Linked DNA regions of Pelodiscus sinensis. The protein of the gene in region 2 interacts with the protein of the main gene of each other region in a pairwise test. Links are inferred from orthologs where the notes say so. Each region holds a gene or a part of one and is shown on either strand. Other genes may lie near its edges.

Region 1 (7,339 bases), on a different chromosome or scaffold from region 2:
TGTGTGCTGAAACCCAGGCCTGGGATAGCAGGGGCCTCTAGCTTGGCATGTCAGTTATCTGCTTTTAGCCAGACTATCCTGCCTTTCTATCCAGTACTGAGAAAAACAATGTGGCTTTGTCCAGTATCAGATGAGAGATGCCATAATGAAGAGTGCCTCTCTGCCCCCTCTGGTGTGACCTGGCATGCACGCCACATGTGTCAGATGATGCTGGCAGAGGTGGGCTGTGTGCTCTTCAAAATAGCGCCCCTTGTGCGGCACTGGCAGATGTGGGCTCCTGCCATTCCCAGTAGCACTGGAATGTTTGGTATTTCTGGAATGCATGAGTAGCCACCCTAGCTGTAGGTCAGGATTATGGGGGACCAGCAGCGCTGGGGAGGGGATGGCAGAGGGGCCGCAGCAGAGCTGAGGGAAGCCAGGGCTGGAACAACTGGGGTGTGAATGAACTGAAGGTCATTGTCCATACCTGGTGGCCTCCTGCCGTTTGTCAGAGGCTCTGGTGGGTGGCACTGAGAGGAAGGGGTCGAACTCTGAGCAGGACTGGGACCTGCAGTGGAAGCTCCAGAGCTGGTGCTGCTCCCAGTCTCTGAGCTGGTCCCCAGGTTGGTGCTGAGAGCTGCTGGCCATGTGGAGATGGAAGGGTTTGTAGATGGTCATCTTGGCTGGTGGAGGAAAACACAGAAAGTATTAATGGAGGGTTCCTGAACCTTCCCATCAGCTGCACTTCCCACGCCAGAAACAGTTGCATCTTAATTGCCAGGGGAAGAGTCTCTGAATAATCAGCCCTTGTGCCTCCTACTCCAGGGATTTTTGTATAAGCAGTCCCACATCAGAGGCAGCTCCATCTCAGTGCCGGGCATGAGGTTCCGTTTAAACAGCCCCCAAAAGCAACTGCATCCATCTCCTTGGCTCACCTCTCACTTTCCTCTTCTCCAGCTGCTCCTGGAACCTCTTGTGGAGTGTCTCAAAGTCAGGGATGGTCCGGTTAATGATGGGTTGGTACCGGATCTTGTCTTTGGGGGCCAGCCCTTTGCCCTTCCTTCTGTGCCCCCTGGGGCTTGGGTCCTGTGGCTCTGTGGCCAGGCACAGAGCCTCAGCTCTTAGCCTGGCCCGGAGCTGCTGGGCAGAGGTGGACGTCTCCCAGGCCGGGGAAGACACAGCCTCCTCCAGACTCAGCAACTGCTGAGCCAGCTGGAGCCAGTGCCTCCTCTCCTCCCGGAGCTGGCGTTTGCGGGCCTCACTCCGGGCCTCCATCTTCCAATACAGTGGGGAGAGGCTGCTGGAGGTGGGGTGGGGTACTCGCTTAACCCTGCCCCCCTCAGTGCTGCTGTGCCCCTGTGAGCTGCCAGCCCATTGGTCTGCACGTCTATGCAAACCCATCTTCTTGGGGTGGACACTTTCACGGGGAGAGTTGTTGGGAGCTCTGCGGGGCTCCCCCTTCTTCATCTGGTCCAGGGAAGGGGCTGGGAGCAGGGCACGGCCGTTGAGTGAGAATTCCTCCCACATCCACTGGAAGGGGAAGGAGGGGCGGGAGCAATGGGGTGGGCGATCAAGGGTGCAGGCAGGAGCTGACTTGGAGGGAAATGGGTCCTTAGGAATGTCTCTCTGCCTGGTGGTAGGGAGAAAAGGAGATGATGAGTTTCAGATCAGAGCAATGGAGCCACCTAGCCTGGTATCCCCCAGCTAATGAGCCCAGCATCGCTACTCCTATCCAGCTACCCTAGACTAAGCCAATGGGTTCATCTACAGGGCATACCATAGACATGACCACATCTCACATTGAGCCAGCAACAGACTCCTAGCTGCCCCCCTCCTCATGGCTCTAGCCCAGTAGAACCCACTCTTCTCCCTTTGTCTCTTTACAAGGCAAGCCCTTTGGGGTAGAGACTGTCTCTCACTGCGTGTCGGTCCAGTGCCCAGTACAGTGGAGTCCCAATCTTGGTCTGGATCTGTGCACCATCTGGGACAATGAGGACCCCTGATCTGGGTTGACGAGCCTGGGCAGCACCCAGCAGAATGGGGGCCCCAATCTTGGTCAGGGTCTATGTAGTGCACAGCACAATTGTGGCCCTGGTCTTGGGATCTGTGCAGCACATGCCGTAAAGGGGTGCTGATCTCAGTCGGCACATGTGGACACTACTAATAAAATCTCTATGCAGCAGCAGCAAGCATAAGTTTGGCCCAATGGCCATAAGGATCCCATCCATCCTACTTACCTTCCTGCAGATTGGGCCGAGTCCTGGTCCCCATCACAGGTGTCACTCACACAGGACTCCTGCATCTTGCAGCATGGGACCCGGCTGCCTCTTCTCCCTGAGGGGGGACCTCTGGGTGACCCCTTTCTCCTCCCTTTCCTCATCAAGACCACGATTCCATCACCATTATTGAAAACCTCCTCCTGAAACCGCAGAGCAGAGGCAAGAAGGACCTGGCTTTTCTTCTAGGGGACTGGCTGGCTCAGGCAACAGAGACTGGGACAGGAAGCCTTTCCCTCAGTAGGTCCTGGCTCAAAACTACCTAGTCCACTAGTCACCACACTCCCTCCTAAAGCTGGAAGTAGTGCATCCTAACTCCACTCCCTTGCTCTCTCTACTTAGCCAGCAGTGTCACTCTACAAACATCCACACAGGACAGTGAGAAAGAAAGACACGTGCCAGGTAAGGAGACCCTACAAAAACAAACTGCAGCCCCAAATTTTTCCCTGGGTGTTTGCCCGTTGTGGGAGTCCTTCACAGCAGGGAGAGGAAGGTAGAGTTTGGGTGGTCGAAAACAGATGTTGGGCCCCCAAGGACTGTGGGATGCCAGTACACAAAGGGGGCAGGGAGTACCAGGAGTTACCTCTTGGGGAAGGGAGCCTGAAAGCAGTCCTAACAGGTGCACCCTGCCCTTCTTTTGGTAGAGGGTGCCAGGCGCCCGGGCTTTGGGATCCAGGGAGGGGCTGATGCAAGCATTGGTGAACATAGAGTGGCGGTGGGCCCCCAACATGGTGCCTACCTGAATTCCCCCCCCCCAGCTGTTACTGTGGTGATTGGCCATGTTCCAGAACATGGCCATGGTTGGGAGGGTTCCAGAGCCTGGCCTCACCCCCACTATATGGTCACCATAGTAACTGTGGATGAAGGACAGACCATGGCTCTGATCCTGGCCAGCAGCCCATGAGGGGAGAGACTGTGCTGTTAGATCCCCAAGAAGGGGAAAGCTTGGGAGGGGCAACATTAGTCTCAGGGACATTGTGCAGCTCATAAAAGGCATGAGGAACACACAATCATTCAGAACAATGCCATGGCCCATCCAACATATTGGCGCGTATCTGCCATGGGGAAGGGATGAAGGAGAAGGGAGAAGGCAATCTCTAGGGTCACATGTGGTCCAGAAGGTGGGGTACTGTACTGTACTGAGACTCAGGACATCTAGGTTCTATTCCTGACTCTGCAACTGAAAATCTCTTCTGCCTCCCCCCATCCCATTTTGTGCCTTAGTTTCCCTCATTTTTTTCTATAGTTTTACTGTGACCTCTTCAGTGCAAGGACTGTCACTGTGCAACTCCCAGAGTGATGGGATCCCAATCTTGTTTGGGATCCATGCAGCACCTGGCACAATGAGGCACCAAATTTGGTGCTATTATAATGCAAATAAATAATAACATTAGAGACAAACCCCTGGATTTTACTGCAGAACTTAAAGATGGTGCCTGCCAGGAGCACAATGCCCTTAGTCCACTCTGGGGCACTGGGAGCCTGCAGTGAAGGAGAATTCCCCCTTCTGATCTTCCCATACTGCTTTCTGCAGCACTTTACCCTTTGATCACCTGAGGTACTAGGGACAGCACTGAGTCACTAATCCCCTGTAGGAACAGCCAGAGTCCTGGATAGCTCATTCTCAGCCATGATCCCTATAATTATAGTCTTGTTTACATCTCTGCCTGGGAGCCCAGCCAGGCAGAGGGGGAGCAAGAATTCCTTTTTGCTTCACACTGTTTCCTCTGATTCCCAGAATTTCCTGTCTCTTCCCAGGACAGGAGGTTCCTGTAAGGTCCCATCTCTCGGTGTCCAGCTGCAGACTTTGAAGGGGAGAGATGGTGGGGATCAGGGTATGGCCTCCTTTAAATTCACTCCTCTTTCCTGCACTTTATGGATCATGTAAACCTGAGTGTGGGGCTCCTGATTGGGGATGCAAACTCTGTGTGGAGCGTGAATCGACATAGGCCAGAGGAAGGGGACATTGCTTAAGGCTGGTGGAGGGAACTAGGGCTGGAGAGGGAGCTGGAGATCTCAGGCTCAGTTATTGTAGCTCTAAGTGGGGTTCTGACTTGGCTGAGGCTTAGGTTGGACAAGTGGAAATTGGTGGGGATAGGTTAGGTTGGATTGGGGGTGGGGGTGAGGTGGAGGAATCTTTGGGAGAAAAAGTCTGAGCAGATTGAGTCTAGGGAATTCTGTCTGTGTTTCTCCAGCAGGGCACAGAAAGGACACTGTTAACTGCAAAACATGCTACAACAACAAGCGGCTGAGTCCCTCCCCTCCCCTTGAACTGGCTTGGCAGGGGCTCTGGGCTGGGACTGGCCTTATTAATAACCCCTGACAGCTCCTGTTGCAATAACAACAACTGCAGGGGGGAGGGGTTCTGCCAGGAGCAAATGTGTCTGTGGGATAAACAGGATTGGAGGAGGGGCAATAGATCTTAGGTGGAGAGAGAATCAGTGGAGGACACTGTAGGCTGGTGAAGGGAAGGCTGGGGATTGATGGGGCACCACAAGGGAGAGATGGGGGCACTAAGGAGTAATAAGGGCCCTGGGGACTGGAGTAGTAGTAATGGGGGCCAAACACTAGAGGCTGGGGGGACTGATGGGGTGCTATCAGCAAGAGCTGGAACAGCAGAGGCTGGGTGATGTGAGGATACTGGGAATGGAATAGGGAAGGTCACTGGCAGCTGGGATGGGCAATAGGGGTTACTGGGAATGGATGTACAGGGGCACTGGAAATCAATGGACACTGGGGTATTCTAGATTAGGCAGCGGAAGCTGAAGTGCTGGGAATAAAGGGTATGTCTACACTACCCCCCTAGTTCGAACTAGGGGGGGGTAATGCAGTCATACGGAGTTGCAAATGAAGCCCGGGATTTGAATTTCCCGGTCTTCATTTGCATAAAGCCGGCCGGCGCCATTTTTAAATGCCGGCTAGGTCGGACCCCGTGCCGCGCGGTTACACGCGGCACGGACTAGCTAGTTCGGATTAGGCTTCCTAATCCGAACTAGCTGTATACCTCGTTCCACGAGCCTAATCCAAACTAGCTAGTCCGTGCCACGGGGTCCGACCTAGCCAGCATTTAAAAATGGCACCGGCCGGCTTTATGCAAATGAAGCCCGGGAAATTCAAATCCCGGGCTTCATTTGCAACTCCGTATGACTGCATTATCCCCCCTAGTTCAAACTAGGGGGGTAGTGTAGACATACCCAAAGGGAGTGTGAGGTATTCTGCAGCCCTGGCTCACTGGCCCAGACTCCCTGAGGAATAGGGTTGCCTGGTGTCCAGTGTTGAACAGAACAGTCCAGTATTTGAGCTTTCTGTTTGGGAAATAAATTGAGAAAATATAAATGAGAAAATATCAATGTCCAGTATCTTCTAAATAAGATGTAATGTAGATTGTGATGTAATGTCAAGTGTGTCCGGTATTTTTGTTGAAACCATCTGGCAACCCTACTGAGGAAATGCAGTAGGGGGAGGTGAGGTGTATCCCCTTCACTTCCTCTAAGCAGGGCAGCTCCTTTAAGGGCTGAGGTCAGCAGAGCTGGGGCTTCCATGGAGCCTGCTTCTTCTGCCTCAACACAGACCCACAGGGAAGGGGCCCCCCAGCTCTGCCAGTGGTTCCCAGGCCTGGGCCCTTAGGAAATGATACCCAATCTTGATGCTGCCCTACAGTGCAACTGCTGGCATGGAAGTGGGGGTGCCCCTTTCCCAGTCGTCACAGGTCCATGGAGCTAGGGGGCAGTACTAAGTTCCAAAACAAAGATGACTGCCAGAGAAGGGGTGATGGTTGTCAGGGTAATAACACAGAGAGATGACTTCCAAGAAAGATTGGCACAATGATGGCTGCCAAGGAGGAGAATGGTCATGAATAGGGGAGGCACAAAGATGGCTGCATGACAAGATGCAATGGCTGTTGGCAGGTCAGTGGAAACACAAAGATGGCTGCTGGAAGCCATTTTGTGTAATTCTTCTCCCAAGATGGCTGAGCTGTGCTAGGGCCTAAACCTTCCCTGGGGTGGTGAATTCTTCTCCCATTCCTGGCGCCACCCTGACTGGCTGGCAACATTGGGCAAGAAGCATTCAGGATCCATTTGTGGCTCTGGAGCAGCATCTTGGCGCCTGCTATTTCCCTCCCTGTCTCTCCCACGCCCTTGGCTTCCTGAGGATTCAAGCCCCAACATGACAATGTGGGAGCATTCCCCAGGGTTTGTATATGTGTGTGTGTGCTGCTGTGGGAAAAGAGAACTGGAGTGACATGCACATGTCAGAGTCAGGGCAGGGGCATATGTGATGGTGAGGGTTGCACAGTGGGCAGGGAGAAAGGGGCAAGGGATATGTGTGTATACAGGATAGAGAACGTCAGGGGTGCACAGAATGACAGGATCAAGAGGGTGTGCACATGGAGGAGAATATTTGGGTGTATATACAACATGGAGAGGCCAGGTAGCACATGGAGTGGGAGAAAAGGGGGGTACATAGAGTGGGATGAATAATGGGGTATATACATAGCACGAGGGTGCTGAGAGAGGTTAGAGGCTGGTCAGAGCAGGGAGGCTGCCCATTGAAGGGATGAGGGCACTAGTCTCTGATTACAGCTTGTGTGACTGGCACTTGTTTACAGCCCTTGCCTTTAGGCCACATTTGGTAGGGGGCGTGGCTCCTGGTTTTCTCTGCTGACTCAGGTGCTGCTGCTTATGGTGGCAGAGCTGGGGCACCTGTGCTGGGAGATCAGCACCTCAGCTGTGGCACTTGAACCCTCCCCCATTCCACTCCTTTTGGGTAAATTCAATGCCCAATTTGAATTGGGGCAGTTTGGTGGTAGCCATCACAGAGTAGTGGCCTGGCAAGCTTCCTTGTAACACCCCTGCCTCAGTGTGTGTTTTGGGGAGAACTTGCTATGGCTGGAGGGGGCACTTTGTCTCCATGGTCAGATCAGCCCCAGAAGCCCTGCCCAGTTAATGCCATTCAGATGCAGCTGAGAACTGGACTTTATGGAGGGGGTGGGGGAAGGGGTGTTCCAGGACCAGGAGGCAGTTGGAACTGTTTGTTGGTGGGTAAGAAGCCCACAGGTAAGGGCAGATCTGTGTTTAATCACT
Region 2 (7,495 bases):
TTGCCCACCCACTGCCCCAGGGTGTCCCAAGGTTCTTGGCGGGGATCGCTTGGCCGCTGCTGGTCCCACTGCCGCCAGGTGTTCTCCAGAGTTCCCAACTAGGGCCACCCGGCCACCGTCGGCCCTCCTGCCGCTGGGGGTTCCCCAGCCAGGTCCACACCATCGCTGGGGATTCCGGCTGCCCGCTTCTGCCAGCCCCACTTCAGTAGAGGGTTACACCGGGACTCCCCAGCCATGTGGCCTCGTTAACACGGGGGCTTCCCCAGCCTGGGCAGGAGCCTGGCTGGGGCTAAGGGTCCTAAGCCACTGGCTTTCCCTGTTGATGCTGGGGGTTCCAGGCCAGCACAGGGGCTCCCGAAATGCAGCCTGGCCCAACTGGGGCTCCCCAGCCCTATGTTGCTCCAGGGCTGTTTGGTCCAGCAACATCGCTGGCCCTGCCAGACCACGGATGTTGCCGGACCAGAGTCCCAGATTTGGGAGGTTCAACCTGTACCATTATATTACAGTGCAAGATGCAATACAGACCAGTGGTGGGCAACCTATGGCCCATCAGAGTTCAATGTAGGAATGTTAACTATCATTTGTGTAAATGTCTAACCCCTGAAAATTTTAGCAGTTACACATTTACATGCAGGGGGACAGGTGCAAGCACCAGCTCCCAGCTGCCCCCGATAAAGAGCAAGCAGCATCGGGGAGAGGAGCAGGCGGTTACCTAGGAGCCAGTGCTTGTCAGGAGCCAGCTTTTAAGCTGGATCTCTTGAGCTCTGGTCCCCTTTTACTTCCCCCCCAGCGCTGCTGCCTCTGTGGGAAGCAGTGGCGAGCTGACTTGAAAACTGGCTTGCCTTACGTGCCAGCTCCAAGGGGCCATAGCAGGCAGGAGCCAACATGCATGGGGAGCAGGCTTTTAAACTGGCTCTTCGCACATGCTGGATTTCGTGACGCCCTGCCCCGCCACTTTCCAAAGAGTCAACAACATGGGGAGAGAGGAGGTGGACATGCAGAAGCCCCTCTCCCTCTCACTGCTGCCTCTGTGGGAGGCAGCAAAGGGAGGTGGGGGCTTTTGTAGAGCAGGCATGCACAGAGATTCAGCTTAAAAGCCAGCTCCCCGTGTGTATCAGCTCCCATCTGCTCTTCCTCTCCCTCGGGCACTGATGCCTATTATAGGCAGCAGCGCGGGGGGGAAGCCAGTGCTCAGGGGGGAGTCAGCTCCCACCTCCCCCACGCTACTGCCTCTGTGGGAGGCAAATGGCTCTGTGGGAGGCGGCAAGCACAAGGACCCAGCTTAAAAGTTGGCTTCCTATAGACACCGGCTTCCACCTTTGAAATATCAGAAGCGGTAAGGGGGGAGGGAATTTGCATGTAGTTGTTATGATTAATCAATAAGCCTGGGCTTATCGGTTAACTGTGTAACCAACTATACATTAACATCCCAAGTTCAATGTGTGGCTTGCAAGACATTTTGTTCACCACTGCCCAAGTGCAAGGTTGCCAGATTCTGCTGGTCTCCATCTAATTTTTTCCCCCGACTGATATTGCTAAAGTGACGTTCACATAAAGCAAGGGCACGTGAAAAGAGATGAGTACGGACCACACAATTCAGTCAGCACACCTGACAAATGCTAGGTATGCAAAACTAGGTTAGGAAAACTACACTATTCTGGGAGGCCATCTTGGTTATGATAATCTTGCAACCAAGATGAAGGAGGACCACTCATGCGGCCCACTCACTAACGTAGTTAGCCGATTGTGATACAGATCAACCCATGTATTGCAGCAGCCTCCAGAATAGGGATGGGGAACCCCTCCAGCCCCAACCTTTCCTTATCTCCTAGGAGGCAGGATGGCACACCACACGCATGTTCCCCCCTTCCAACCGAGGGGAGGAGGTGTGCAGTCGCCGCAGCCTCCCCAGCACTGTTGGAAAGCGCAACATGCCACGTGGCCTGGCCGAGCCCAGCCTCTCGAGCACTGGAGGAGAGAGGAGGCAGGCCATGCTGCACGGAACAGCCCAGTCTAGCTCAGCCTGTCCAGTCCCAGAACACCAAAGGAGGGAAGAGAGCATGCCATGCAGCCAAGCCTGGCCTCCCCAACCCTGGAGCACTGGGAGTGCTGGTGCAGGGGGAAGCAACACTCCGCCCCCAGAACGCTTACAGCGGAGTGTGGACGGGGCTATGCCTGATGCTTTGGCACAGTCCTCCCCCACCTTACATACCTGATGTCAATGAGCAGCCGCTGACCCACAGAAAAGTCAGCTGGGTGCACATACGTATTTTGTGCCCAGAGATGACACTCCCCACACTGCCCTTGCACACCAGAGCCTGGGGGGCCCAGGCGAGTAGATTTTGAGTGCTCCAAAACCTGGCAATCCCCACCAGGGCTGTTCTGGAGCGCAGCTGCAAGGCCGGCTGCCGGCCACAAGGGCAGACGATGGGTATTTAATGAGGGGGTATTCTGGCCAAGGGCGGCTGGTTAAATGCCTGCGTTAGCCCCCTGCTGTTAACACTCACTGACTGGCTAAAAACCCCTCTTCCTTCACCCAGCAAAACCTGCCGACCTACGACCCAGCCTCGGCCATGCTGCCCCGCTCCCCGCGGCTGCTGCGGTCTCCGCCGAGCACCCGCTCTCCAGACCCTGCCCCCCAGAGCCCGGCACCCCGCCGGCCGGCGCTGCCACTGGCCCTCGGGGAGGGGCAGCGCAAGAGCCGGCCTGGCCCCGCTCACCAGCCGCCGCCCGCAAGGGAGCCGAGGAGACTCAGGGGAGGGGAGCGCAGGCGGCGCTGCACCGGGCCTGGCGAGGACGGAACCACTGAGCGGCCGGGACCCGCGCACGCGGCACGGGGAGGGGGGATGTCCCGGTAGGGCCACGGCTCCGCCCGCCCCCACCCCGCTCGCCACCAGCCCCGCCCCACCTGGCCCCGAGCTCAGCCTCCGGCCGCCACACGCTCCGCCGCGACCGTTACAACTGAGGAGGGGCGGAGCCAGAGGACGCTGCTGGCGGCGATTGGCCCCGCCCCGGCGGAGGCGGAGCTTGCCCCTCCCAGGCCCCGGCACGAGGGAACCGCCCCCAGCGCCCTGGCTCGCGCCTGGCCCGCTGCCCGTTACCGGCCTTAGAGTCCACCCGCCCCCAGGGCGCGCGCGGCCCGGCCCGGCCCGGCGGCAGCGGCGCTGCCAGTGGATGCGCCGGGCGGTCGCGCTGATCGATGCGCGGCGCGTCGCTTCCCTGCCCCTGTCGCCATTTTGGCCGCGGGGGCCGGAGGGAGCGCGGCGGCGGGGAGCGGTGTGCAGCGAGACGCGCCCAGGTACGAGAAGCCCCGGGCAGGCTGGCGCCCTTCCTCCTCGGGGGCGCTGCCGGCTCGTCGCACCCCAGAGCCCAGCGGGGCCTGGGCGGCTTCTGACCCCCCCCCCCCCGGTCCCTGCGATTCCGCCCAGCCTGGCCTGCAGCGCCCCGCTCCGCGGTCACTGCCCCGAGCGCCGGGCTAATCCCGCGTGGGGAGCGCCTCGGAGCCCTCTGCCCCTTTGCTTTATTCAAGTGGCCCCTGTTCATTGGCCGCCCTGGAGATCCCGGTGGCGGTGGGGGACACACGGGCAACTCCGCCCCTCGCGCTTTGGGACTGGCGCTCTCCCGGGAACAAGTCCTGTTAGTCTGTAACTTAAAAAACCAGCGTCTTGAGCCGCCAGCCTAGACAACATCTACAGAGAATCACCAGCTTTCCTGGCCAAAACCCAGGCACTCGAGATCATCTCATCTGAGGAAGTGGGTTTTGCCCAGAAAAGCTCATGATACTGTATGTATTTTTATAACCTTAAAAAACAACACGTACTCTGGTAGCACTTTAAAGACTAACAAAACATGGAGCTGGATGATACCATCTCCATCTTTTGTTAGTCTTTAAAGTGCTACCAAACTATCTGTTGTTTTTTAAGGTTATCCTGTTCGGACTAACTCGGCTACCCCTCTGAAGCTGTATGTATTTTTGTTAGTCTCTAATGGTACGTTTAGACAGTGGCGCTTTTTCGAGATACCGGAAGTATCCCAAAATAGCAATTTCATGTCTTTAAAGGTGCCCATTATTTCAAAATAACGAATGCGCTATTCCAGAATCCCTGTAACCTTTGTGGAACAAGGGTTAAGGGACTACATTTTGAAATAAACTATTTTAAAATAACCTTGAAATAAGATACACAATTTGTGTAGCGCAAATTTCATAGATTATTTTGAGATGAGGGTGCTGTTTAGGTGATTTGTCATAAATGTACTTCCTAAGTTTAGTTGGTCAAGTTCAACTACTAACATGCTGATGAGAAGTGCTGAGGGTCTTCAGTAAACCAGCCTAGTAACATACCAAATAGAGCTTGACTCTGGTGGTCCTCTTGAGAGGAAGGCAGTGGCCTTTGCAGCTTTCTATTCCACAACATGAGGCTCGGGCTAGTTGCCATAACTGCGGAAGGAGCTGATGTGGGCAAGACCTTTGTTCCCTTCAGCCCCCTTCCTTCCAACAGAAATATTCTGCTTCATCACATATTTCAGTTGCACTGTCATTAAAATCAGCATCCCATGTTGTAATAAGCTTGGTAGCAATGTGGTTTCTCTCCCTAAACCAAGAATATAAAAGAAATAACATCAGTGTGAATCTGACTCCATTGCTACAAGTTTTCTGGACTTCTAAAGATGGCATAGAGGAGGGGCAGCAGCAGGGACATACTGAGTGGTCTTTTTAACTTATGTTTATATTTTACATTAAAGACTAGGTTAAAAAAACTAACAGAACGTATATAAAACATTGACACAATGGAAATAGGATAGAAAAACAAAATTCAACAAAATAGATAAATAAGTGACAACATTCTAGGAGTATTGCGGACTAATATGTACTAAATTTCAAAAGTATGTTATAGTTTAATATGTGATCAAATATCCTTATCGTTTTTCCAAGCATTTCTATTAATGGGAAAAAATGATAGATTAATTGAAATGCCTTGATACAATGCAGAAGCTTGGAGAAGGGAAAATAGTGATAGGGATGTAAAATAGTAGTTGATTAGTGGACTACCTGATAAGCCTAGGCTTATCGGGTAGTCGAGTTGACTACTCGCTCCCTTGCTGCCTCTAATATAGAGTCAGTAAACAGGGGAGGGGAAGCAGTGCTGGGGGAAGCCGGCTTAAAAGCTGGTTCCCCCTAGCACAGTCTTCGTGGTGCAGGGGAGACAGAGATGCAGTAGTCAGGGACCTGGTGTGAGCCAGAACTGTTGAGTCCCAGCTCTCGTCGGGTCCACCACTGCAGCTCTGTCTTTTAAATGTAGTAAGAGCTGCCTGGCCCTTGCTACATTTAAAAGGCAGAGCTGTAGCAGGGTAAGATCGAGACCCGGCATGAGCCAGGACTCAGCAGTCCCAGCTTGTGTTGGATATGGGACCTACACCATCTGCGGCTCTGCAGTTTAAATACAGTAGGAGCTGGGCTGCCTGCATGCCTGGCTCCTACGATATTTAAAACTGCAGTTGCAACTGTGCCCCTTATTGACTAATCGTGTACTCGATACAAATTGTATCGAGTACATGATTAGTCAGTTACCTACTACTTAACATCCTTAAGCACTGATTATGGTGTTCCAGAACATATGCATTTTTGACAGGTATAGAGGATGTGTGAAGGGCTGATGTGTGGCTGTTTGGCAACTCACCACATCTGTTGGAAATGCAATGTAGCCTTAAATAAATGTTCTGGAGTCCATAGTACTTGTTCAATATCTTGTTCTGGAATAATCACGAGAATGAAGAACTTGAAGTATCTTTCACATTAAGCCTCATATCCTCCCAGGTTCCTCTTGTGTTAAGCTCTTTTCCTGTTTTTCTTTGAGACTACATTCTCTACAAGTTCCCTGCATTTTGTGTATCGTTTTTATGTACATTCTGTTTTTTGGTATAGCTGTCCTGTGAATTTTCACTACGATTACATACTCAACTGACATATCTCAAAGGGAAAAATGCTTGACACACAAAACTTTGATCTGGAGTGAATCTCTTTCAGAGGATCTTAGCCTTTTGACCTGAAGTTAATCAAAAGGTCTTCCATTATGTCCCCTTAACCTTTGTGGATAAATTGCAAATATAAATTAAGTGAAATATTCAGCTCAGGTACTGATTTATATTTGCCTGTGTTGTATCAAGTGTAGAAATATATTACATTTTTTATGTTAGGGTTAGTGGAAGTTCTTGTGAAAATATCCCTGTGTGTTAAATGTAAAGAATGAGGAAAATGGATATTAAATTGGAAAAAGGATTACTTCTTAATTAAGAGGAACTGCAGTACTCGACATTTTCTTTGCTGCTATTCTGCTTTTCTCTTTCCTTGCTGCTAATTGGATTTAAGGCCGTATTGGTTACTATGGCATCCCGTGAAGAGATTACTCTCTATGAAGATGAAGTAAGGTAAAAAGGAACAATGCCAGAACATTCAATTCAGTATAAACTGGTCTGGAAATGTCTGCAATCTGAAATTTAATGGTCATTTCTGATAAGATCTATAGATGTGCATATTATTTTCTTGACATGAATACATAATACATGCATGCACCATTTACATGCATGTAGACACACATTAGATATTACCTAAGCCACTTGTTTTCAACACTTTTTCAGATGCAGACCCCTAAAAATGTCAAATGGAAGCACAGAACCATTTGGAAATCTTAGACATAGTCTGCAGCCCTCTAGGGGTTTGCAGACAAAAGTTAGAAAATCATTGAACTAACTGCAGTTTCTTTAATTTACTCAATTATATGATATTTATTTAACTGTTAAGATTGAATTTAATAGACTAGAAAAGATTTACAGTATAATCATATATATAGTAGCCCATTGTCTGTGAGTCTGTAACGCAAAATGCTGGGTGTTCCCTCTGGGGGGGCGCTGTTGCCTGAAATGCTGGCTGTTCCCTCTGGGCGGCACTGTTACTGAAATACTGGCTGTTCCCTCTGAGCGGCCCATGCTGCATGGGGAGTGCGGGGCCCAAACAGCTGCTTGCGCCGCTTGCTCCCCCGTGGCGGCCTGGCTGAGCAGAGCAGAAGTCACCCGAGTGCCATGGTGGGAGGCGAAGGGGGGGCAGGGTGGTGACGTGTGGCATGACAGCGGCTCCAAGCCCTGCCCCCTAGCCGTGAACTTCACCACCCTGCCCCCCTTCGCCTCCCGCCATGGCGCTCGGCTGACTTCTGCGCTGCTCAGCCGGGCCATTGTGTGGGAGCAAGCGGCACAACCGACCATTTGGGATCCGCGCCCCTCCCATGCAGCATGGGGAGTACGGAGCCCAAATGGCCATTTGGGCTCCGCGATCCCCCGAGAGGCAGGAAGGGGAGGAGAAGTGAAAGAGAGAGACACAGAGTGAAGCAGGAGGCGGAGGAGAGCTGACAGAGAGAGGGGGAAGGCAGTAGGGGGGGGGGAGAGAGAGAGAGAGAGAGCGACCAGAGGCTCAGGAGAGAAGACCGACATGGAGGAGAGACCT
Region 3 (7,745 bases), on a different chromosome or scaffold from region 2:
AAACTCATTGTTACAAATTCAAGGCCTCATTGTGTAGCAATAAAGATGGATTATGATAAACAACTGACTCAGAGATTTATTACTGCTTTTTAAGGAAGTGAATAAGACTATATGTCATTTATATGCAGTCTGCACTAAGAACATTCCTAAGGCATTGACAACAGAAAGGATGTAAAAAAAAAAATTTCAGATATATAGATAGAATGCAAAATTCATTTTTATGCTTTTCAAGATGGTATCCAGATTTGACCCCTTTGTGGCAAAGCAGATATTGCTCAACCTAGTTAGGACAGAATAATATGAGGACATTAACATTCAGATATTAAAATATTGCAAGAGAACCCAGTTAAATCTTTACACTGAATGCAAAGACATTATACTTAGCACTTTAAGTTTCAAATTTGTATTTACATTTAAGTTTAATATTTGAGGATTTTGCTTCCCTAATTTACATACCCAATTTGTGATGTCTTTTATCATCCCTGGCCAATAATAGTGTGAGATCAGCAGAATTCTCATGTTAACTACTCTTTGATGTCTGCTCTGTAGACTATCATGATACTGTTCAAGAAGTCATAAGGGTTGTTTCATGGTGTGTACAACTGCAACCTTTATTCCTTCTGCAGAATGGCAGAATGTCTCCTCTGCTAATCAGAGATTAAGCTTTGCACTTTAAAAAAATCAGATATTTTCAAAGACATATAATATAAGAGATATCTGGATATAGTATGGATTATCAAGGCTTGAATATAAAGGAATTTCACTATGTGGTTAAAATTACATGTTGAAATTTATTTAATACTAGAACTCATTACTCAGTGAACGTATATGGGTTGTTACCGTTTGTGGTTACACTGGATAACATACTTAAGAAATACAAAGTTAAAGGATTTTTTTGTTAATATTTATAATTTATGTTCATTTCCATGTAACTGACAAATACATTTGTTACATTGCTTCCATATGTAGCTAACGAGATTTTCTAAGAAGTTTGAAGAAAGACAGTGATCCTAATCATAGCCCCATTGAAAGTAAGGTTAACACTTCAAATAATCCCAGCGTTGGGAAGGCAGGGATCAGGATCGTCACCTATATGCTGAAAATTCCATTGTATTCTGTTTCTTTATTATATGAAAAAAATATTGCTTGCCTTTTAAAGAAAAGTTGGCAGAAAATAGACATAAGTTAAACCTACCCATTTTAATTGTTCCTTTAAGATGTGTTACTTCTCTTATACGTCAAAACCTCTGCAATTTTCACCTGAAAAGATTTCCCCGAGTATTGTTCACAGAAGAAAACATTTCACACAGTTAACATTTACAAAATAGCAAACATGTAGTATCTAGCCATATAATAAGACTTTATTTTGTAAGTATGATGTGTAAATTGCAGACACAAGCAGGGTAAGCCAAACTCAAAAATGCAGCATTCCAAGGCCAATCATAAGAGTGATGGATGTAAATTTGTGCTATGTGCATAAAGTTAGATCACCTTTAAGATTTTAGCCAATTAAAGTCTTAATAGCTCAAGACATGAAATATAACAGCACAAAAATATGAATTTCCAAAAAAAATTGGTTAGCAGGCATCTGGTTTTCAACTACAAAACCCAGTCAAAAAGAGACTGGCAGCTCTGGCTGGCACTGCCAAACAGGAGGTTAAAAGTTCAACTGGCAACGCAGAGAGAGCCTGGGGCTAAGGCAGGCTCCCTACTCGCCCTTGCTCCACATCAGGGCTGGCCTTACCATGAGGCGAACTGAAGCAGACACCTCAGGTGCCAGACTGGAGGATAGGGGGCACCACTAGGATAGAAAATTGTGTCTGCTGCTGGTGCATATGTAGGTAGCAGAGCAGTCCCATGAGAGGAATAGAACAGGAAGAAGGCACAACTGAGACCTTTCAAAGTTTTGGCCCAAGCGAGGGGGCATGGGGGCATCATTTGAGCTCCCTGCCTCAGGTGCCACATGGCCCTGCTCCACATGGAAACAGAAAGCATTTCCCTCCAGCTCTTAGGGGAAGATTTGGTGACCATTTGTCCCGTTTTTAACAGGACAGTACCTTATTTAAGCTGTTTTGCTGGTGTCCTGACTTTAAAAAAAGCGGGAGGGGGGCAATTATCCTGTGTTTCTGCTCCCCCTGCTGGTCAATGTGCAGCAGAGGCCTCCTGTTTGTAGCTGGCAGATGATTGCAGGCAGGCGGTGGCCAGCAGATGGTGCTCTCAGGCAGGGTGCAGAGGCAGAAAGACAGGAAACCAGTAGGAGAGCCAGCCCCCTTTTCTCACACAACTATTAGTATTAACTATTTATAACAAAAAAAATCCATTCTACCTTGTTTTTAGTTGAGAAACTTCTAACTGACCATAGTAACCTAGTGTTGCAAGTTTCCAGAGTGCAATCTATATTCACTTCTTCCTTATCAGTGCAGCTGTCATTTTGGCAAGTTCAGGAATGTAGCCTTGCGCATTCAAAGGTTCTGCAGACACTGCTGATCATCCCAAACCTGTATTACAACCCAATCTCACCAGCTGGAATTTGTTTCTCAGGCCCAGAACCATTACTCCACCATCTGCAGCTGCTCTGTGAATGCCACCACCAAGTGTGAATTGATCGTTGCTATGTCCCACAGCAATCTCTCCTGCATGGAATCATCTCCCTCAATGTCTATTCTCCAGACTCAGTAAATACTGCAGGATTACACAGCTTGCAATGCTCATGCCAATAGTGCAGAGTTATGCAGGTTCTATGCTTCTACCAGAGGTGACAGACAGTGAGGACGGCCATGCAGGTTTGTGGAATTTAGGGAAAATGGTGCAAAAATGATGTATAATGTTACATATGGACAATGTATGAAATTAGGGCATGGTGAACACTGCATTATGGGAAGCTGATCTCTTGATCCTAGTCACCCCAGTGCAACCCATTTTGGTCCCAGTACAGGTTGCCAAAACTTCCCAAAAATACAGTGCTGGATGGTGGCAAGTTGCACAGTGAGCTATCTATGCTGCTCCATGTTCTGAATCAATATAAGTGGTTCTGGTGAGTACACTCACCACTGACACAAAAAGTTAATAATGGCACATGCCACCGTGACATATTAATTGTGGCAATTCTATGCTGATGTAACTTTTGTTAACATAAGTTTGCTGCATAGATATGGCCTTTGTTATACGCAATGTTTGGAAGTAGCAACAGGAAAAGTATGCAATGGGTTTCAAGAGTCATTCAGGTGTTCAAGTTCCTGCTTTTGTGGAGCTGGCCCTAAAGGTTTTGGAACAAAGAGGCATAATAGAACACAATATAATTTATTTTGTTAAAAATTTAATTACATGAAGGTATATATCTCATGATTTTGTAATTCTTGTGGTTGTCAAGCTATGTCAAGGTTGTAGCTCTGTGCTTATGTTGTGAAGGCCAAAACTATAACTGGGTTCAAAAATAATTAGATAAGTTCCTCAGGATAGGTCCATTAGTGGCTATTAGCCAAGATGAGCAGGGATGCAATTCCTCTCTAGGTGCCCCTAAACCTTTGACTGACAGATGCTGAAAGTGGATGAGAGGGGTTGAATCACTTGACTGCCTATTGTAGTCCTTCTTTGGAAGCACATTGGAAGACAAGATATTGGGCTAGGAGAATTAGTTTAACCAGATAAAGTCAACCTTTTGTTCAGCAAAAATTAAAATAGGTTTTTGCCTTTGAGAATGATTTAATATGATAGTATACTGTCCCTTACTGACTATTTGAGAATGAAGTTTTACACACAAGAAATGAGATGCAAAAAAGCATTGAGGGCTGGAGTGAGGCAAAATAGCAGTTGCAAAAGGCAATTCTCTTTAATGGATCAAATGAAAACAAAGTTTTGACACCAGGCTAGGCAATCTATCCGACTGGCAGCTACAATGATCCATCCGAATAAACTTGTGCTATCAAAACAAGAAGTGAAAAGCAAAAATTCCAAAATAAAAATCACAATAAAATATATAGTAAAGCTATTCTAGAAACACGGCTGTCATTGCTAAAGCCACTAGCAACTATTTACTTGTAAGTACTTTCAATGAATATTTACTATGCACATAGGCATCCACTCTGCAGTTGCACCTGGAGGATCCAAGGGGGAAAAGAAGAACTGGCGCTTACGAGTAGCTGCGGGTGCTTTGCAGAGAGCTGCTCTCTTGTAAGTCTGTGCTACCGGTAGCAGTTTCTGATCCGGCCGCCAGCTGTTCTGCAGCTTGCAGGGGCGGGGCAGGGGCTGGAAGAGGCGGGGGCGCTGGGGAAGGGGTGCAGCGCAAGGAGCGGCGCGGAGGCAGCAGAAGCCGGGTGGCCGCGCTGAGAGCAGCACGCGGCGCGGGTGGCAGGCAGCGCGAGGCAAAGGCGCCCCGCTGCGCAGCCAAGCGATTGTTAGCAGGGGCGGCAGCGGGGCAGCGATTTGCCTCCCTGCAGAACTGACGCGCATGGGCACAGCAGGGCCAATGGTTAGCCAGCGGGGCCCTGCGCCCCGCCCCGTAGCGCCTGCCCCGGGCGTAACTCCTCCCCCTCCCACCACTTCGCTCCTCCGCCCCGCCCCGCCCTCTGCTGTACAGCGCAGGCGGCAGAACCCGACCCTAAGTAAGGGCGGGGCAAGAGCAGCGGTTTTGGGATTGTTACCGCGCATGCTCAGTCGAACCCAAACGGCACCACATTCTTTCTACGCCTGACGTAGGTAGTGTGGGGACGTCTCGGGGCTTCCGTACCCGGCTCATAGCCCCGCAGCGTGGGCTCTTTCCGCCTGGCGGCTCACGTCACGTTCTCCGCGCCGCCCGCTGATGAACTACAATTCCCAGGAGTGAGCGGGGCTGCAAGACTCGCTCTCCCAGCGTGCCCCGCAGCGGAGTGTGCGCATGCGTCCTGGCCGCTACCGAGCCAGGGCCCCGCTTTGACCTACAGTAGCAGGAGACGATGGCGGCGGCCGCGGGGCTCCCGGGGAAGGTGACCGGCAGCGCCGCCCCCGCATCCGGGCTCGCGGGGAGGAACAGGGCCTGCCCCCCCCCCCCCCCCAGTCCAACGGTTCCTCGGCGGCCGTTGTCGCCCCCCCACCCGCGAGCCAGGCTCGGGCTCCTGGCTTCGGCGGGACGTGGGGGAGGCGGGTTCGCTCGGGCTCGCCAGGCGGCCCCGGGGGGTGGCGCGTGGCCCAAGCGCGGGCGGGAACCCGGGGTCGCACGCGCCGGGCCTCGGGCCTTTCCCTCCGGAGTCGCCTAACTCGAGTTTTCCGTCTCGCCCTCCTCCAGCTGCGCTTCTTCAGCACCGCCCTCGCCCGGCCCGCCGCGCCGCTCGTCAAGGTGCGTCCGCTCGCTCCCCCGCCCGGCCCCTTCCCCCGCCCCGAGCTTCGCTGCCCCGGGGCGCGAGTGCGGCAGCGCCGCTGGCTGGGGACAGGCAAGTGCCGCTGTGCGCGCCTAGGGGGACTGCCAAGAGCGTCTGTGCCGCCCGCACCTGAAAGGCGGCACCGGCTTCAATGGGGACGCCTGGCGTGGAACAGACTTAAACCCCTGGAGTGCCCTGGAATAGCAAGTAAAATGCAGGACTATGTAGCACTTTAAAGACTAACAAGATGGTTTATTAGATGATGAGCTTTCGTGGGCCAGACCCACTTGCTCAGATCAAAATGGAATAGCAACGCTGCTTAACTGAGCTGCCTATAAGTTATGTTAACGCAGCTTATGGTTAAGCTGGTTATTTTTGGTTGAGTTTCTCTTGTAATTCTGAGATGTGAAAAAATGAAGTATCATATTGCTGCCAGCTTTTGACTCTTCCGTGTTGTTCCTTTCTGGTATCACCCCTTGACAGAGTAGGTGAATGACGGGGTAGAACCCTTTTTTCAGTACATGCCTCCTAACCCCATACTGTCTGTTGAGTACTAGGAGGGATTTTCTGTGTGTCTGTACCTTCCAGTGTAGCAGCAGCAGCAGAAATGCTTTCTATCAAAAACGGAATTCCTTTTACCAGGGCTTCCTGTTTAAAGTGATTTGAGTGACCACTCTGCTGCAATCCTTCTGGCATTCTAACTAATTGAAACTGTTTTAACTGTGTGAAGTTAAGCTTGATGATTCTACCAAAGAACTGTTCAGAAAACTGAGTTAAATAGTGTATTTACTGGGGTCAAGATTTTCAAGTGATTAGTAACTTTGGGTGACCAGCATAACATTAATAAAGGACCCAGCATCAAGGATGGAAGAGGGGCTGCTAGGAAGGTAATATAAGATAGGGACAAAGAGCAGCCTGAGCCACCTGTTTGCGTGGTGCTGAGACTTTCTAAGTTTGAGGGCTCTGAGAACTGCCTTTGCTGTATTGATATGGGCTTTCTGTTTTACACTAGTGACTGAGTATCAGAGGAGTAGCTGTGTTAGTCTGATCTGCAAAAGCGGCGAGGAGTCCTGTGGCACCTTATAGACTAACTGAAGTGTAGGAGCATAAGCTTTCGTGGGCAAAGACCCACTTCGTCTGCATCTGACAAAGTGGGTCTTTGCCCACGAAAGCTTATGCTCCAACACTTCAGTTAGTCTATAAGGTGCCACAGGATTCCTCTCCACTAGTGACTGAGACTCGATTAGTCACTACCTTCTCCCCCCCCTCACCTCCACCAGAGGCAGCAAGTAGAGGTGGAGCAGGAGCAGGAGCTGGTGCTGGGGGAAGCCGGCTTAAAATCCAGTTGCCCCTAGCGCTGTCTCTGGGGGGCAGGGGAAGCAGAGGCACAGCGGGGGAAACAGTGCTAGTGGGATTTAAGCAGTCCCCGCTCATGGCTGCTATTTCCACTGCAGCGTTTCAACACTGTTGGGCTCTTGCTACATTTCAAAGGCTGAAGTGCCACAGTGGGATCATGGGGTGAGTGGGAACTGCTTGAGCCCCCCACTTGCCCGGTGCTCCCTGCGGTGCGCCCCCCTCCCCCCCCCCCCGGAATACAAGCCAGTGCTAGGGGGAACCAACTTAAAAGTTGAATCCTCCCAACAGTGTCTCCGGGGTGTTCTCACATCTTCTCTCCCCCCCCCCCCCCAATCAGAGGCAGCGGGGGGGGGGGGAGGAATATGGGGGCCCCTGTCTGTTGGAGCAGCCTCTGTTCAAAGCAGCCAGGACTAGTTGTGGGCAGGAGCTACTAGATTCCACACAAGCTGGGACCAAGTAGTCCCAGCTGGCATGGTTGCTGTGCCTCTACATTTTAAATGTAAGACCCCAGGGGCTCTTACTACAGTAAACTTCTGATAATATGGCACCTTTAGGACCCAGGAGGTGCCGGATTATCAGATTTGCCGGACTATCGTAAGGGGGGGGCTATGAGGAGTCTGGGGTGGGGGGATGCCACCCCAGGCCCCTCATAGCCCCCCCCTTACGATAGTCCGGCTCTGTCCCAGGCGTCCCTGATTCAGCTGCTGCTGGTCAGTTTCAGCAGCGGCTGAATCGGGACACCTGCAGCAGAGCAGCTGGAGTGCTGCCGGGTTGGTCCGGTAGTGCCGATCCTTGGCACGGCGAGACCAACCCGGCAGCCCCCCAGCTGCTCTGCCCCAGGTGTCGTGATTCTGCCGCTGCTGAAACTGACCAGTGGCTGACTCCGGGAAGCCTGAGGCAGAGTTGCTGTGCCCCAGGCTTCCTGGAATCAGCCCCTGATCAGTTTCAGCAGCGGCTGACTTGGGTACACCTAGGACAGAGCAGCTAGGGCACTGCTGGATTAGTCTGGTAGCACCAACCCTTGGCACTGCGAGACCAACCCAGCAGCACTCCAGC

Evidence for each region.
Region 1: the proteins of CEP70 (region 2) and TSGA10IP interact in binary tests that used the Homo sapiens proteins (3 or more experiments, as listed by UniProt). The two-hybrid records come from large-scale screens. The link is inferred for Pelodiscus sinensis from reciprocal best matches to the Homo sapiens genes CEP70 and TSGA10IP.
Region 3: the proteins of CEP70 (region 2) and ATP5PO interact in binary tests that used the Homo sapiens proteins (3 or more experiments, as listed by UniProt). The two-hybrid records come from large-scale screens. The link is inferred for Pelodiscus sinensis from reciprocal best matches to the Homo sapiens genes CEP70 and ATP5PO.

What each region holds. Positions count from the first base shown.
Region 1 is NC_134721.1:33,087,851-33,095,189, forward strand, and holds the start of TSGA10IP (testis-specific protein 10-interacting protein), read right to left. Parts: upstream 3,001-7,339; 5' UTR 2,986-3,000; coding exon 2,839-2,985; intron 2,399-2,838; coding exon 2,217-2,398; intron 1,610-2,216; coding exon 915-1,609; intron 663-914; coding exon 467-662; intron 1-466.
Region 2 is NC_134717.1:12,118,025-12,125,519, reverse strand, and holds the start of CEP70 (centrosomal protein of 70 kDa), read right to left. Parts: upstream 3,012-7,495; 5' UTR 2,909-3,011; intron 2,875-2,908; exon of another isoform or gene 2,721-2,874; intron 2,692-2,720; exon of another isoform or gene 2,213-2,691; intron 1-2,212.
Region 3 is NC_134711.1:183,989,619-183,997,363, reverse strand, and holds the start of ATP5PO (ATP synthase peripheral stalk subunit OSCP, mitochondrial), read left to right. Parts: upstream 1-4,745; 5' UTR 4,746-4,931; coding exon 4,932-4,961; intron 4,962-5,260; coding exon 5,261-5,311; intron 5,312-7,745. UniProt on the Homo sapiens protein: Subunit OSCP, of the mitochondrial membrane ATP synthase complex (F(1)F(0) ATP synthase or Complex V) that produces ATP from ADP in the presence of a proton gradient across the membrane which is generated by electron transport complexes of the respiratory chain.